4 linked regions of the Solanum lycopersicum genome follow. The protein of the gene in region 3 interacts with the protein of the main gene of each other region in a pairwise test. Links are inferred from orthologs where the notes say so. Each region holds a gene or a part of one and is shown on either strand. Other genes may lie near its edges.

What was found.
Region 1: the proteins of FALSIFLORA (region 3) and ATP-dependent helicase BRM interact in binary tests that used the Arabidopsis thaliana proteins (3 or more experiments, as listed by UniProt). The link is inferred for Solanum lycopersicum from reciprocal best matches to the Arabidopsis thaliana genes LFY and BRM.
Region 2: the proteins of FALSIFLORA (region 3) and chromatin structure-remodeling complex protein SYD interact in binary tests that used the Arabidopsis thaliana proteins (3 or more experiments, as listed by UniProt). The link is inferred for Solanum lycopersicum from reciprocal best matches to the Arabidopsis thaliana genes LFY and SYD.
Region 4: the proteins of FALSIFLORA (region 3) and DOT interact in binary tests that used the Arabidopsis thaliana proteins (3 or more experiments, as listed by UniProt). The link is inferred for Solanum lycopersicum from reciprocal best matches to the Arabidopsis thaliana genes LFY and UFO.

What each region holds. Positions count from the first base shown.
Region 1 is NC_090800.1:82,012,277-82,016,560, reverse strand, and holds the start of ATP-dependent helicase BRM, read right to left. Parts: upstream 2,855-4,284; 5' UTR 2,536-2,854; exon of another isoform or gene 2,424-2,535; intron 2,271-2,423; 5' UTR 2,215-2,270; coding exon 2,053-2,214; intron 1,144-2,052; exon of another isoform or gene 146-1,143; coding exon 1-145. UniProt on the Arabidopsis thaliana protein: ATPase subunit of a multiprotein complex equivalent of the SWI/SNF complex that acts by remodeling the chromatin by catalyzing an ATP-dependent alteration in the structure of nucleosomal DNA.
Region 2 is NC_090810.1:54,116,457-54,120,025, forward strand, and holds part of chromatin structure-remodeling complex protein SYD, read left to right. Parts: intron 1-521; coding exon 522-688; intron 689-785; coding exon 786-850; intron 851-940; coding exon 941-1,657; intron 1,658-1,965; coding exon 1,966-2,153; intron 2,154-3,030; coding exon 3,031-3,128; intron 3,129-3,569. UniProt on the Arabidopsis thaliana protein: Catalytic component of the chromatin structure-remodeling complex (RSC), which is involved in transcription regulation and nucleosome positioning.
Region 3 is NC_090802.1:63,961,710-63,965,558, reverse strand, and holds FALSIFLORA (FLORICAULA/LEAFY-like protein), read right to left. Parts: upstream 2,646-3,849; 5' UTR 2,580-2,645; coding exon 2,105-2,579; intron 1,801-2,104; coding exon 1,409-1,800; intron 1,002-1,408; coding exon 627-1,001; 3' UTR 503-626; downstream 1-502. Other genes in the region: glycine--tRNA ligase, mitochondrial 1, read left to right, coding at 76-293. UniProt on the Arabidopsis thaliana protein: Probable transcription factor that promotes early floral meristem identity in synergy with APETALA1.
Region 4 is NC_090801.1:61,733,325-61,736,814, forward strand, and holds DOT (DOUBLE TOP), read left to right. Parts: upstream 1-1,192; 5' UTR 1,193-1,390; coding exon 1,391-2,758; 3' UTR 2,759-2,955; downstream 2,956-3,490. UniProt on the Arabidopsis thaliana protein: Component of SCF(ASK-cullin-F-box) E3 ubiquitin ligase complexes, which may mediate the ubiquitination and subsequent proteasomal degradation of target proteins. Considered as a meristem identity factor required for normal growth of the young floral meristem.

The sequences.
Region 1 (4,284 bases), on a different chromosome or scaffold from region 3:
ACCTCCTCGACTGCTGAGGCAGCTGCATGGATCCAGAAGGTCCAACAAAATTACCCCCACCTAAAATTCCATGGGGACTGCCAGTCTGGAAGGCCAGAATAGCTTCGTTTCCTTCAGGCCTTCTAAGTAACTGTTGTTGTAATGACTACAAAACGAATATCCGATAAGTGATATGTAAAAGTTATTTATAAAAGAAGGTGAGTAATTTAAATAAGACCTAGATTATTGTGATCTTCCTTATTTTTGACAATAAGCCACCACGATATTTTCAGCAGGGGAACATAATAAGACACTAAGATTAAACACAAATCAGTTCGAAAAGAGCAGCTATCATGATTCAACATAACAAGTTTTGACACTTTATTTGAAAACATACCTGGTAAAATATTGTTTCAAAAATAATTTAAAAAAAGGAACAACAATCTCTCCAGACATCAGTAGTTGGAAGCAAACAACGCAACAAAAGTACATGGAAAAATATTATAACAATATAGCATACAAGAAACTCGAGAGAAACTGGTATGACTGACAAAGTTGATAATGCTGAAGGTTAAATACTGCCAGTCAAAAGCATGAAAGAATTTCTAGGGAAATTTGCAGCATTCTGAAGGACAAATACTGCCAGTCAAAAGCATGAAAGAATTTCTCGGGAAATTTGCAGCATTCTATGCACATATTGGACAAAAATACTCTGGTTTAGTTAAGCAACATCTTATTTCGTCCTGTGCTGCAATTCGTCTTCTTCAGTTCACTTTTAATAAATGTGTTTCCTGTTAAGGATAATCAACTCAGAAATCAAATACAGTAAAATTTTAGAAATGAGGACAATTACAACTTTTCAGAGTATCATTAAGTATCAAATTTGGACAAAATGTGTCATATGTATGGACGAAATAGAAGTTTGCACTCCATAACCTAAGAAATGACAATTAATCTGGTATGAGTTAAGAACATCATTGCAGTTAAGAATCACATGGACAAAATGTTGCATATCACGTATGGACGAAATAGAAGTTTGCATTCCATAACCTAAGAGATGACAATTAATCTGGTATGAGTTGAGAACATCATTGCTGTTAAGAATCACACGGACAAAATGTGGCATATCATGTATGGACGAAATAGAAGTTTGCATTCCATAACCTAAGAAATGACAATTAATCTTGTATGAGTTGAGAACATCATTGCAGTTAAGAATCACATGGAAAAAATGTGTCATATCATGTATGAACGAAAAAGAAGTTTGCATTCCATAACCTAAGCAATGACAGTTAATCTGGTATGAGTTGAGAACATCATTGCAGTTAAGAATCACATGGACAAAATGTGTCATGTGGATGGACGAAATAGAAGATTGCATTCCATAACCGAAGCAATGACAGTTAATCTGGTATGAGTTGAGAACATCATTGCAGCTAAGAATCACATTAACTTCCAATACTGTTGGAAATATAAACCTTTTGAATAGGTCAAGGTTAAAATATTAAAGACCTGGCAGAGACGAGCACTTAAAATAAGGAAGAAAAGGTGGAACTATCTATCAAGAAAAAGAAAAATAGGAATCACAACATGCTAGACAATACGTACTTGGTGGAACTTAACACTTCCATTAGAGGGAAGACTAAGATACACAGAGTTAATTCTCTGAAAAGTGAATTTTGGATAACTCTAAAAATCAACAAGCGCTAATACATTTTTCAGCACAAAAAATGCTCTTTCTTACAAAAAGCAAATCACTCTCTCCTTCATACAAAGATTTTCAAATTCCTCCTACTTCCAAAGCTTAAGTAGTTTAGCAGCTGGCATCTCAGTGCTAATTGAACAAGAAAAAGAATGTCTTTCACATAGCAAGCAAATTCATGTCACTTCAAACCTAGTGTTGAACAACATCATACAAAAAAAAAAAGAACTTGATGTCTTATGCGAAACCCACTTCCAAAATAGAATAACAAACATCAATCCTACTTCAGAAAAAAACAAAATGCCACTTGAAACACCCCCTCTTCCTCAAAAGCACAAGTAAAATTCAGAAAAAAAGTTGTTAACCCTAACCTGCCGCTGATGCTGTTGATGCAGCTGCTGCTGATCCAACCCCATATGAGAGGCAGAAGAAGATGATGTTGGAGAAGCTGAGGCTGATGCCGCCGTGTTCCGCCCATGTCCACCACCGGCGCCGGCGACACCACCTTGCTGAGCTCCACCCCCAGATTGCATGCACCCTTGAAAATTCAGCAAAAAATTCTATTTCCTCCAAAAATGTTGCAACTCACCTGAAATTTAATTGATTAATTTCAGAACCCCATCATCAAGAAAATAAGTAATGAAACATTAATTTCAGTGGAAACCCCTGTAGTTTCCTAAAACCCAAGATTTCCCACTTTCCCCGATCCCCAAGGTTCAAATCAACCACCCACCCCCCTTACCTCACCACTCTCTACACCTCTCTGTCCCACACAACTGTACTTTATCTATAAAAATTTTCTCTCTTTTTTCCTGTATGTATAATTTCCTTATTTTCTTGATAAAAAAAGCTACCGAGAATTTTGCTGAGGGTAATGGTGAATGGATTTTGGCGCGAATCTGTGGGCCTATGATAAGATCGGAAAAGTCGCCGGCGATCTTCCGAAGTTGCCGGAATCTCTCTCTATATATGCTGTCTGGTGTGTGTATGTGTGAATTTTCACGCAGTTTGCATTTTTAGTCCAAGCCCTAACAGCTGTTATTTCTATGTGCTTCTCCTTTTTCCCTTTTTTTTTTTTTACTCCTATTACATTAAAATGACAACAAACAATTTTTAGAGATTTGAAAAAAAAAAATTAATTTTGTGAAAAAATTTGCAATATTTTTGTAAATTATATTCCCCTTAAAAGAGTTTTCTATTTATCTAAGTTTTAATGGATTCTATTAATGTATTTGATGAGCAATAATAAATAAATTATATACGTGTAAATTGACATATATATTATGAATATGAAATTAAAAAAGTCATATAAAGAAGTAATATAAATGAAAAATGAAAAATGTGCGATGATTAATGAGCTTGTGAAACTCAAAATCTAAAATATGGTAATTTAACTTGTTATAGCATGATAATAAGTATTTATTATTTTATCATATCATGATTAATAGATATCATTATTATTTAAATAAATAAATACCTTTATAATTGATGTGATTATTTTTCTATAGTGAGACTATATTATTACATTACAAGTAATTATGTGAACGCTATAAAAGATTTTTTGACTGGTAAAAAATTTATCACTCTTCTTTTAAGAAATCAAATAATATAAATATTGTATATTTTTATCATATAGATATGGAGAAAATTTACAATTTATTGTACTTTTATAAAAAAAAAATTAAATATCTAAATTTTTAATTTAATTTAATGTTGATAATCAATTAAATTAATTTTGAATACTATTTTGGAACTGGTTACATTTTTGTTTTTGTAATTATTTTTGTAATTTGTATGTATGGATTCTTTTAAATTTTTGTTGTCTTTTTGCTCAACAACTTGGGTTTACCTTGGGTTAAGGGCTGGTTAAGGTATAGAGAGGTTAGGTTAGTGGAATTCATTTAACCTCAGAAAACGTAATATTTACCAAAATACCAACATTTTATAATATATGGAAATCTGATTACGTAATAACGTGTGTCGACGGATATTCCTATTTGGCTTTGCATTTTCAGTCTCTTTTTAGTATAATAATAATAAGAATAAAAAATAATACCAATTTAAGAAATATTAATTTTAACATATATTTTATTTTATGTATGTTATAAAAAAATGTTAAATTAAAAGTAAAATAATTTATTTATTGAAATATGCGCGAAAGGAATTCATTCGACTTTTTATTTGAAAAATTATTATATAGAGCATAACTTCAGAATTTTACAATTCGAATTTTAACTGATTTTTGTCTGAATTGTATAAATATGAATGTATAAAAGAAAATCACATAAATTGATAAATATTGTTTTGGCAACTATAATTATGAAAAGGAAATCGTGAAAAGAGATATTTGAATCCTAAAAATCTAAATAGATTATTTACACGTATTTTATTTTACTCTATTGGACATAATAACTTACCACATTTGTAATTAAATAATAATGTCGATAAGATTAGTTACGAAGAGAGAATTGAGTTTGAATTTTTAGAAATAAACGTATATATACTTATATCTTAAATAACTCTTGCACAAATATAAATTTAATTGAATCTTGATATCAAAATAAGATCAACACTAAAAAAAATGTCTTAGTGGCTAGGAATAT
Region 2 (3,569 bases), on a different chromosome or scaffold from region 3:
AATTTCTTCTTTAACTAGGTAACAAATGATGATCTGGAACCAGCTAATACAGAAGTCTAGGCAAAATTAGAGGGCCAGGATAACATGATTTTTTCCGTGTATCTGTTTTATAATTTGTTTAGTTGCATTTTCATCATCATTATAAGTTCCTAAGATTAGGAGAAGATCTCCAGATCGAGGTTACAACATTTTATTAACTAGTGTAAAACTATCTTTATTATTATTGCAGGCATCCCGTGAGCACCAATAGAAGGATATCCAAAAAACTGAACTTCATTATTTTCGTCTCTTGTAGTTGTTGTTATGAATCCTTTCCTTGGCTTTTCAAGTTAGATGAGTTTTGATCTTCTTTCCAACTATTGCTTGAGCTGGACTGCATAGAACAGAGGACCTTCTACTATGTTTAGGTTTCTCAATTTCGAGAAGCACATAGATTGTGATAGTATTTAGTTGGTTTTCTTTTTCAGCAGTATCTGTTTTCTCTGTGCTTCATCTTTGCCTTAATTTGTTTGTGTTAACAGGGGGGCATGCCCAACAATGTCCCAGAGAAGAGTATACTTAGAAGTGAAACAATCAGAGATGCAGGGATGTTGTCTGTCGCTGCTCAGGCTCCTGTATCTACCATGCCTTTCAAAGAACATCATTTGAAACAGCTTAGAGCACAATGTCTTGTGTTTTTGGCTTTTAGGTATGTAGGATAATGAAGTTAGATTCTAGTGTTTGTCATTATGCAAAGAAGTTTTTGCTTTCGGCTGCCACAGTTTTCAATATCTCTTCACTTATAGGAATGGTTTAATGCCAAAGAAGCTTCATCTTGAGATTGCACTCGGAAACTTCTATCCGAAAGAAGGTATCTGCTGCTTAATAGCTCTATTTTTTTCTTGCTCTGATTCAAATGTTATATAATCTGTTTCATGTGCTAATGTATGGTGTTCTATAGATCGCAGAGAATTGGTTGACCATAAAGGAAGGGAGCAACTGGTTACTGACCAAGGCAGCGCATCTGAAGTCACACGGACATTTGGAGGAGCTGGCGAAACTGACAGGATTTCTTCTGGTCCTACACCTTCTGGAATTCTTACCGATACAAATTCATCAATGGAGGCTGAGAATGCAAACTTGATGGAAGATAAAAATGGTCAGCTTGATCCTTCTGAGCATGCTGACGAAAGGAGACCCCAAAGAAAAATGAGAATGATTCAGGATGCTGAAATGCCCATCCAGGATGCTATAGAATCACAGGCATCTGCTCTTAGAGGAGTTCCGACTGATCCGAAATCCTTTCCTCCCTATAATCATGAGAATGCTCCTGCAAATACTGAACAGCTTGGAATGTTTCCTCAAGCTTCCTCTGTTATGGGCACAAGCAAGCAAATGAAGCCTGATCTGAGTGGTAGGAGTGGAACTGAGGCTTCAAAGGTATCACCAACTGCCTCCGCCAATACCCATGGATCGGGTCTGCTAATGAGAGATAATCATACTGGTCAGTCTCAAAATCTTGTTGATAGCAATGCTCAAGGAAATCGACATGCTGATAGTAACTTACCTAGTTTACCCTTGAGGCAACAGTGGAAATCTGTTCCTGGAGTAATTAATCAGAGTCCTACAATGATGCAAGTGAAGGATTCAAATATAACGCTGAAAAATCTGTCACAAGGTCTGAATAATATAAGAATTTCACCTCTTATCTATTTCCTTACAAAAGATCACCTTCCCCCCTTGGTTTTAGCTTTGGGGATCTAAGTAAGACGAACTTCTGTTATAACTTCCATGCACAGATGCAGATACCACCTTTGTTTTACTTGCTTTTCTTTTTCTTTGCCATTATGGTGTGGTCAAGTCCCGTCCATGGGATTGATGTTCCTGTGTGCTGAGTGTACATACATATTTCTCTTTGTATGATTAGTTATTGTTCTAACATCTGCACATTGAGTTCTAACATCTGTGCACCAAGTTCATTTACAGTGCAAGAAACAGATCAAGAGGATGATAATATTTCAGCATCCACGGATAGGTTATCATCTCCAAGGCATACAATGCTGGAGAAATGGATTCTGGATCAACGGAAAAGGAAGCTTATTAGTGAACAGAAATGGTCGAAAAAACAGCAAAAAACAGAAGAAAGAATTGCTGCTTCTGCTGAGAAGTTGAAGGTCTGTTATTGAAAATCCTTCTTCCTTATGAGATGCAATGCTCTTATCAGGATTTCATGTAGACTGAATTATGGGGTGAGCTTTGTTGATACTGATTAGATTGGGTACTGTCTTAAGGCTTACTTCTGGTGGAATATATACAAAGCTACTCTTCATCAAAAAATTGGATATATACAAAGTTACTCTTCATCAAAAAATTCCGAAGATTCTCAATTGTTTCTTAATTCCATTTTGAAACGGTCAAAGCAACTGCCGACTGTGTAGGCTGTGCAGATGAAGAAAAACTGTTTAGTTGGTCATTTTTCTACCTTAGCTGCAAAATGTTAAATTAAACTGCATAATGAGCGCAAAATGATGTCATTGATGCCAAGATAATAAGCAATTGAAGCTGGCATCAATGACTTTAATGTTGAATAGGTCTTTTCTTTATGGATCTTGAGTGAGTGTATGAGTTACATTATCCCTTAAGAAATGGATTTCATTAAACCTTTGCACAAGCTATTTTTGATGCTTTAGACCCGAAGATTTTTGAAAAGTAGACTTGCTTGTATTTTTGGATATTTCTACATCCCATGAGAATTGGGTACTTATACATGGAGTCCTATGACTAATTAAGGAAAGAGAATCAATACAATAAAATACAATGGAATAACATATTCTATTCTCCCATTATTGAGCTTTTCAATCAACAATGTCCTCCAATCAACACAAACCATTGGATGATATGCTCTTCCAGCATGTGATACACATGTGAGAACTATTATAAGCATCTTTAATGTCTGTAGATTGCTGCGACCTGATTATCTGATAAATGACTCTTACATCCCGGTTAAGATCGCTCGCATGTGATAAATACTCGTCTTCCTTTATGTGGCAGGAATCTGTGAGCTCCTCTGAGGATATCTCTGCAAAAACGAAAAGTGTCATTGAGCTGAAAAAGCTTCAATTGCTGGAACTGCAGCGTCGCTTACGGAGGTAATCAGTCTTGGCTTACTTGCTTACTTTTTATGTATATCTAGATTTAGGGGTTCTAATCATCCCCAACCCGCTCACTCCGTATACCGGTTGGGTCATTACCCACTTGTTATGTTTACTCAACGGGTTGAGTTAGAAATGACCCATCAAACAATTGAGTCGAAATGGGTCAAATTACTGCAACCCGATGGGTCAAAATGTAACCCAACCCAAACAAGCAAATCATATTAGTAAAAGGAACTATTTCTTGAAACTCGGTTCTTTTTTCATGGCAAACAAGTCTAATTGATCAAAGGTAATTAAGCTAGCTAATCTAAGAAGTTTGATCTATTAATCATTTTAATTAAGGATGAAATGAAATCTTATAAAGTACTACTACTGGGTAGATGCATGGTTGGGCCACAATACTCTTAAAGAGTAGTTCTCATATATTTTTTTAAG
Region 3 (3,849 bases):
TATGCCTCAAGTGCTATACAAGTTGGGTCGACCGACTATATAATTCTTCACTGACCATGTGATTCTGTGCTATAGGTACGTCAATAGGGAAAAGGTATGCAAGAACAGATGAACTTGGAGTTCCCTTTGCCATTACAGTGGATTCAGCATCCTCTGTGACGATCCGTGAAAGAGACAGCAAGCAGCAGATTCGTGTGAATGTTGATGAAGTAGCATCTGTTATTAAGGAGGTAACTGATGGGCAGAGCACCTGGGGTGATGTGTTATGGAAATACCCTACTCATTCTTCTTGATCCCTTGAATTGAGAATTTTTATTAGCGCATTGGTTTGTTACTCATCGACAATTTGTTTGACGATCGTACATCAAAGTGACAGTAAATACTTGTGCAATGAGAGATCTATTCTGTTGTTTTTCTCCATTATGTTGAACCATTATCTGTTAGAGATCTTAAACTTTAAGCAGTTACAGAATTTGCAGAAGTGAAATGAGGGACCTCCATGTTATGCAGAAAATTTTGATCTTTAAGCTGAAAGATTACATCAAGAGTAGAAAAAAGTAGGGAAGTCGGAGAGATTTAACACAGTAGATATACTTTGTAAACTGCAGTCATCCTCAGAAGCACAATTAGAAATGTGGCAGGTGATCAGCAACACCACCAGAGACGGAGCTAGAAGCAGCTGCAGCCGCGTTGCTTCTTTCAGAATGGCACAGCTGTCGGAGCTTGGTGGGGACATACCAAATGGCTAGTCGAGGATGTGCATTGAAGATTGCATCGATATCCCAGCCTTGTCGAGCCGCTATAGCCACCAATGGCTTGTAACACGCCTGTCTCCATGCCCCAACATTCTCTCCCCGCTCCTTGAAAGCTCTTCTCAGAGCATTGGAAGCATCCTCATCAAGGCAGTGAAGTGCATAGCAATGCACATAATGTCTCATTTTGGGCTTGTTTATGTAGCTTGCCCCTGCCTTCTTCGCGTACCTGAACACCTGATTCGTCACCTACATATTCAACACACTCGTGAATCAATATGCGATAAATTTACGTAATTGTCTTAAATTACGTCTACCTAACTATTTTTTTTTTGGATACATGCTAGCTTTCATCAAAACGAGATGGTCAATGTGTAGACTATGTATATGGTAAGGACAAGTTACAGGTGGAGGTACTTGAGTGGAAGTACAAATGGAGTAATGGGGCAAGAGCTGAAATTCAAGCTTTATGGTTGAGCCCATCAGTAGCTGTCGAGTTTACTTTGTGGACAGCTAATGGTTACTCTTAGACCCAATTAACGAGGTCCTCTGTTACCACATTCATTTTTATACACGACCTTTCCTAGCTCGACTATTATTTCGTATTCGATATTTATAATTTTAAAAAAATGAGAAAGAGAGAAAAGGAAGGTGACCTTCGTAGGGCATTTTTCACCTCGTTCCTTAGCAATAGTCTGAACTTGGATCAAGAAATCACGGCATTGTTCGTAGAGATGGAACAGATAATCCAAGCCGTTCTTTTTGCCACGTGCTACTTCACCAGGCTCCGTCACGATAAACGGATGCTCCCTTTGTCTCTCGCTTATTCCTCCACCTCCACCTCCTTGGTTCATATTTTCTTCATCATCTTCTCCTAATTCCTCCGTTTCCTCATCCTCTTCCCCTCTTCTCTCCCTCCCCGCCTTCTTCCTCCTCCTTTGTTTCATCCTACCACCACCACCGGCAGCCACTTCCCATGTACCTCCACCACCACTTCCTGCCGCTTCTCTCTCCTGCTGCTGCTGCACTGGTTCCTCCGATAATCCTACTTTACCATTTTCACCATATGTATAAGATCATTTTAAACGTATAATAAACAATTGTCACTGGTACATCATTAACACGAATCAATTTACTAGTTTACTTGATCGATCTCTTTCATTTTATGTGCAATGATTTTGGTGGGGTATGAAAGTGAATTATAAAAGTGAGTGATACTAAAATAAAATCAAATTTGAAAAAACAATGAATTGCATGCAAGCAGGAAAATTTAAAAATCAATATAACAGTGCATGAAACAAAATTATTAGCACAATTCAGTGCATGTAATTGAGAAGTTGAAATTTTGGTACCTTCTTGTGATAGAGCGTCAAGGACATTCGTTCCACCGTCGGACAAAATGTGTCCGCGGCGCCGTGCTTCCTCCTCCTCCAGCCTCCGCCATTCAGCTCTAATCGCCGCTTTGATACCGTACCTCTCTCCGACGAGTAGGTCCCACCGAAATATCTGCGAGAGGCTATTCATCATATCATCAAGTTCTTCATCTTTCATGTCCAATAACGTGTTCACAGTGAACCCTAACTCCGCTATCTTAGCGGCGGTGTAGTAGCGTATGCCGTACGCTTGAAATAACTCCTCTAGTCCTCCGAGCTCCCTCGTACTCCGTATGGAGTAGGATGATGTTGGGAGCGGCTGAGGAGGTGGTGGTGGTGGTAGAGATGGAGGAGGTTGTGGTGGCGCCACCGGTTCTAATAACCGGCTTGGTGGTGGCATTGCACCTCTTGGGTCCCACTTGAACAAACTCGCCGAGAAAGCATCTGGGTCCATGTTGTTAGAAGCACACACTTGGGTTACTATGGAATGGAAGGTGAAAAACTGTTGCTTTTTATAAGAGTTTAACTTCGACTGTAAAAATAAATATTTACAAACTTACAACTGCCTGCGTATACTTTATTTTTTCCAAAATCATTCTACGTAATTAGCCAATTATTTACTCCAGTGATATAAATTTAAGAAAGAAAAAAATTAATTCGTATAAATCAAAGAGTATTATATAATTAAAAGTGAGTTTAATACACTATCAATAAATTAAATTTTTCATCATCAGATTATTATTAACTTATGTAGTAATTTGTTATATTAAAAAATTACAAACACAACGTTTAAAGGAAATTAAATATGTATATGTAGATGTGATTTAGATGACATGGTAATGATTACTTAAATTCATTTTCGATAAATCACTTGATAATTATTACTGGATAATTTGAAAAAATATAGTGCTCTAGAATTGATCTTAAAATTTACTAAGCTTTTCCAGCATCATATAAAAGAAACGTATGCTATCTATCACCTTAGTACTAACTAAAAGTTATCAATTTGTAATTTTATATTTATTAAAAGATAAGTGAATTACGTTTTACACCAAGATAAAATAAAATTTTGTTTTAAAATTATCTTAAGTTTGAAAATATACAAAATTTCTGGGATAGGATCAGAGATACGTGAATAGCAATGTGCTTTTCTGCATTTGCATACAGAGAAAAAAAGGTACGGATACAACAGTTGAAATAATTTTACTTTTTTTGAATAGACTTAGTTCAAATGAGACTAGTTCCAATTCACCACTCTCTACTTCCACACCCTTTTCTCCACTTTTTTGTATTTTTCTTATTTTAGAAACTTTTTCTAACTAGCTTCTTCGACTTGTAACCTTTCAACAATAATGGATAGCAGGTAACCGTGTCCGCCAAAATTAAGATAGATGAGAAAAAATTATTTAGTGATTTTTTTTTTATAAATAGTGATTTGAATCTGAGATCTCGGCATTCTCAACGTTATCTGTCCATTATTCCAAAAACATATATATATATATATATATTTAATTAATTCTTGTTATATATAAGCATATCATGAATAACATTATACTAATGTTCTTACCAAATATTATTTTCTAAGAAACGTGCAAAGTTTACTAACAATCATTATCGAAAATATTGAAGATTAATTTATGCATTTTTTATTTTTAAAAAAATATTATGAACATTTTGCTCAAGTGGGGGGTACTTGTACGTGAAGTAAATTTATAAAGGATTCA
Region 4 (3,490 bases), on a different chromosome or scaffold from region 3:
TTTACTTTTTACTCGTCTAGAGAAGAAAATAAAATTCCTTAATAAGGAAGATAAATTCACAAATAAATAGAAACAGTTTTCCTCTATGCAGCCTCCCAAAATTATTTGAAAATACTAACTTTTGAAAGTTGGTAAATTTAAAAAAAAAAAAATTAATTATGGTAAGTTTTAACTGATCATGATTTCATCAAACTTCAATTTAAGGTTGATTTTTAATCGATATTTTTCAAAAAATTAACCTTTTGGATTTAGTTTTTGACATTCTTTTAGCGTCATTTGATAGAATATATTGGAAAATCTAACACTTATATTAGTCCTGGTATTACTTAAATCTTTTATTTAGCAGGGTGTATAAATAAATGCATAACAAACCATGATATTATCCAATATCCATATATGGGCTATTAATACATGGGATAACTACCCTTAATATACCAAACCAAACGGAGGATAAGAAATAATTCCTCGTTTCTTTTGACATGTTATTTATTTTTAAAATATTTTTAGTTATTACTTTTGACATATTAATAAAAAATAATTATTTTTTTTTATGTTTTATCTTTAACGTTAAATACTTATTCTCCAAATCATTTTCCAAACCCTAATACTCCCTCTAAACAACTATAACAATATTTATCCACTTTATGAAATCAATAGATAATTTTACACTTACTACTTAATTTTACCCTTATCATTTACTATTTTAGTCATTTTCCCATTATATCAACACAAAGTATTTATTATATTCAAGAGGTGATATAAGAAAATTACATTTTTTAATATAGTTTCTAAAGAAATATACAAAGGTCAATAGCGGATGAGTATTAAACATAATTTTTTTCTCAATAGGCATGTCAAATGAAACCATAACGAGTGAAATGAATAAAGAAAATAGCTAACCTTACTAATAAATCGTATTCTTATACACTCTACTCACTAAAAGCAAACCTAGAACTCCATAGTTAATCAATCATAATAACTTGTCTCTTTATTTGTGTGTGTGTTGTCTGTTGAACTACAGTCTGTAGATTGTCCTTCCTTCCTCGGCCTTGACAAGAAAACACTGAAATGATACATGTATCCATCACTCCACCAACCAAAAAATATATGAAGAAACAAATGCTGCCAAAATTCCTATATAAACTCCTAAAACAAACCAAGAATCCAAAAGACAAACAGAGAAGCCAAAAAAGAGACTTTCCCTTCTAGTTTTCTGCCAAACATTCATATCTCTTTCCTCATTAGTGAAAAACTCCACCTCCTTAACTCACATGTCCACTGAATTTGAGAAACATAAAAGAGTAAAAATAACCTTAACTTTCCTTTTTACAACTCTCCTAGCTTCAAACTCAAAATCCCTTTTAGTATTATCTCCAATTATACTCTAAAAATGGAAGCTTTTCATCATCCCCCTATTAGCTTTCACTTTCCCTATGCTTTTCCTATCCCAACACCAACAACCAATTTTCTTGGAACTCCAAATTCATCATCAGTTAATGGAATGATCATCAACACTTGGATGGATAGTAGAATTTGGAGTAGACTTCCACATAGGCTTATTGATAGAATCATTGCTTTTCTACCACCACCTGCTTTCTTTAGAGCTAGAGTTGTGTGTAAGAGATTCTATGGACTTATTTACTCTACACATTTTCTTGAATTGTACTTGCAAGTTTCACCTAAGAGGAACTGGTTCATTTTCTTTAAACAAAAAGTACCAAGAAACAACATTTACAAGAACGTGATGAATAGTAGTAACTCAGGAGTTTGTTCTGTTGAAGGTTACTTGTTTGATCCTGATAATCTTTGTTGGTATAGGCTTTCTTTTGCTTTAATCCCACAAGGGTTTTCTCCTGTTTCATCTTCTGGTGGATTAATTTGCTTTGTTTCTGATGAATCTGGATCAAAAAACATTCTTTTATGTAATCCACTTGTAGGATCCATAATTCCCCTGCCTCCAACTTTAAGGCCTAGGCTTTTTCCTTCTATTGGTTTAACTATAACCAACACATCTATTGATATAGCTGTAGCTGGAGATGACTTGATATCACCTTATGCTGTTAAAAACTTAACTACAGAGTCATTTCATATTGATGGTAATGGATTTTACTCAATATGGGGTACAACTTCTACACTTCCAAGATTATGCAGTTTTGAATCAGGCAAAATGGTGCATGTACAGGGGAGATTTTATTGCATGAATTTTAGTCCTTTTAGTGTGCTTTCTTATGATATAGGGACTAATAACTGGTGCAAGATTCAAGCCCCGATGCGACGATTCCTACGTTCACCGAGCCTTGTTGAAGGGAATGGTAAGGTTGTTTTAGTTGCAGCAGTTGAAAAGAGTAAACTGAATGTGCCAAGAAGTTTGAGGCTTTGGGCATTGCAAGATTGTGGTACAATGTGGTTGGAAATAGAAAGAATGCCACAACAATTGTATGTGCAGTTTGCTGAAGTGGAGAATGGACAAGGGTTTAGTTGTGTTGGACATGGTGAATATGTGGTGATAATGATTAAGAATAATTCAGATAAGGCATTGTTGTTTGATTTCTGTAAGAAGAGATGGATTTGGATACCTCCTTGTCCATTTTTGGGAAATAATTTAGACTATGGTGGTGTTGGTAGTAGTAATAATTATTGTGGAGAATTTGGAGTTGGAGGGGGAGAGTTGCATGGATTTGGTTATGACCCTAGACTTGCTGCACCTATTGGTGCACTTCTTGATCAGTTGACATTGCCCTTTCAGTCATTCAACTGATAGTTAAACTGTTTACAAGTGGGGTATCAGTAGTACTAGTACTATGAATAGTGTTTCATTTGGACCTTAATTAATTGTATTTTTAGTGTTTAATTATCTAGTGTTTTTATATTACCAAGTCTTTAGTAAGAAGAAAGTTTGTACTCTACTATTGTTGGTTGACTTATTAATATGAGTTTTACATTGATTTGTGCTTATATATAGTTTAGTTAGGTATCTTTTTTTACTTCCTTTTGAAAATACCAAAGTAGAAAACCCTAATCATTAAAACAACAAGAATATCGTTATGTTGTCAATTTTACCGATGATTTTATTAGCATATCATAGAGTATTCGACATATTTACAGTACACAACCATCTTACAAATCTAATTTTCTAACTTTTTTTTGTAAATTTTAACCAAAGTTTACGATGGATAATCGATATATAATTAGTTTATTATACAAGCTAAAATTGTTAGGATCCCTCGTTTTGATTTGATTCTAAGTCATTTTTTTGCCACGTGGAATATAATAACCTCATTTGCTATAAGAAAGTTAATTTCAAAGTTATAAATGAAAATTAGCTTCTGGTTGATTAGTTGGTTTTTCTCTTGAAATAAGTGAAAAGTATGAAAAAAGAAAAAGTAAAACTTGTTCATCTCATAATTTTTAAGAGTGAGAACAAAATCAACTACATGCAATTATTGGATGTTAATGTTAAATTCTACATAATTTCTACCATTCTAAAACC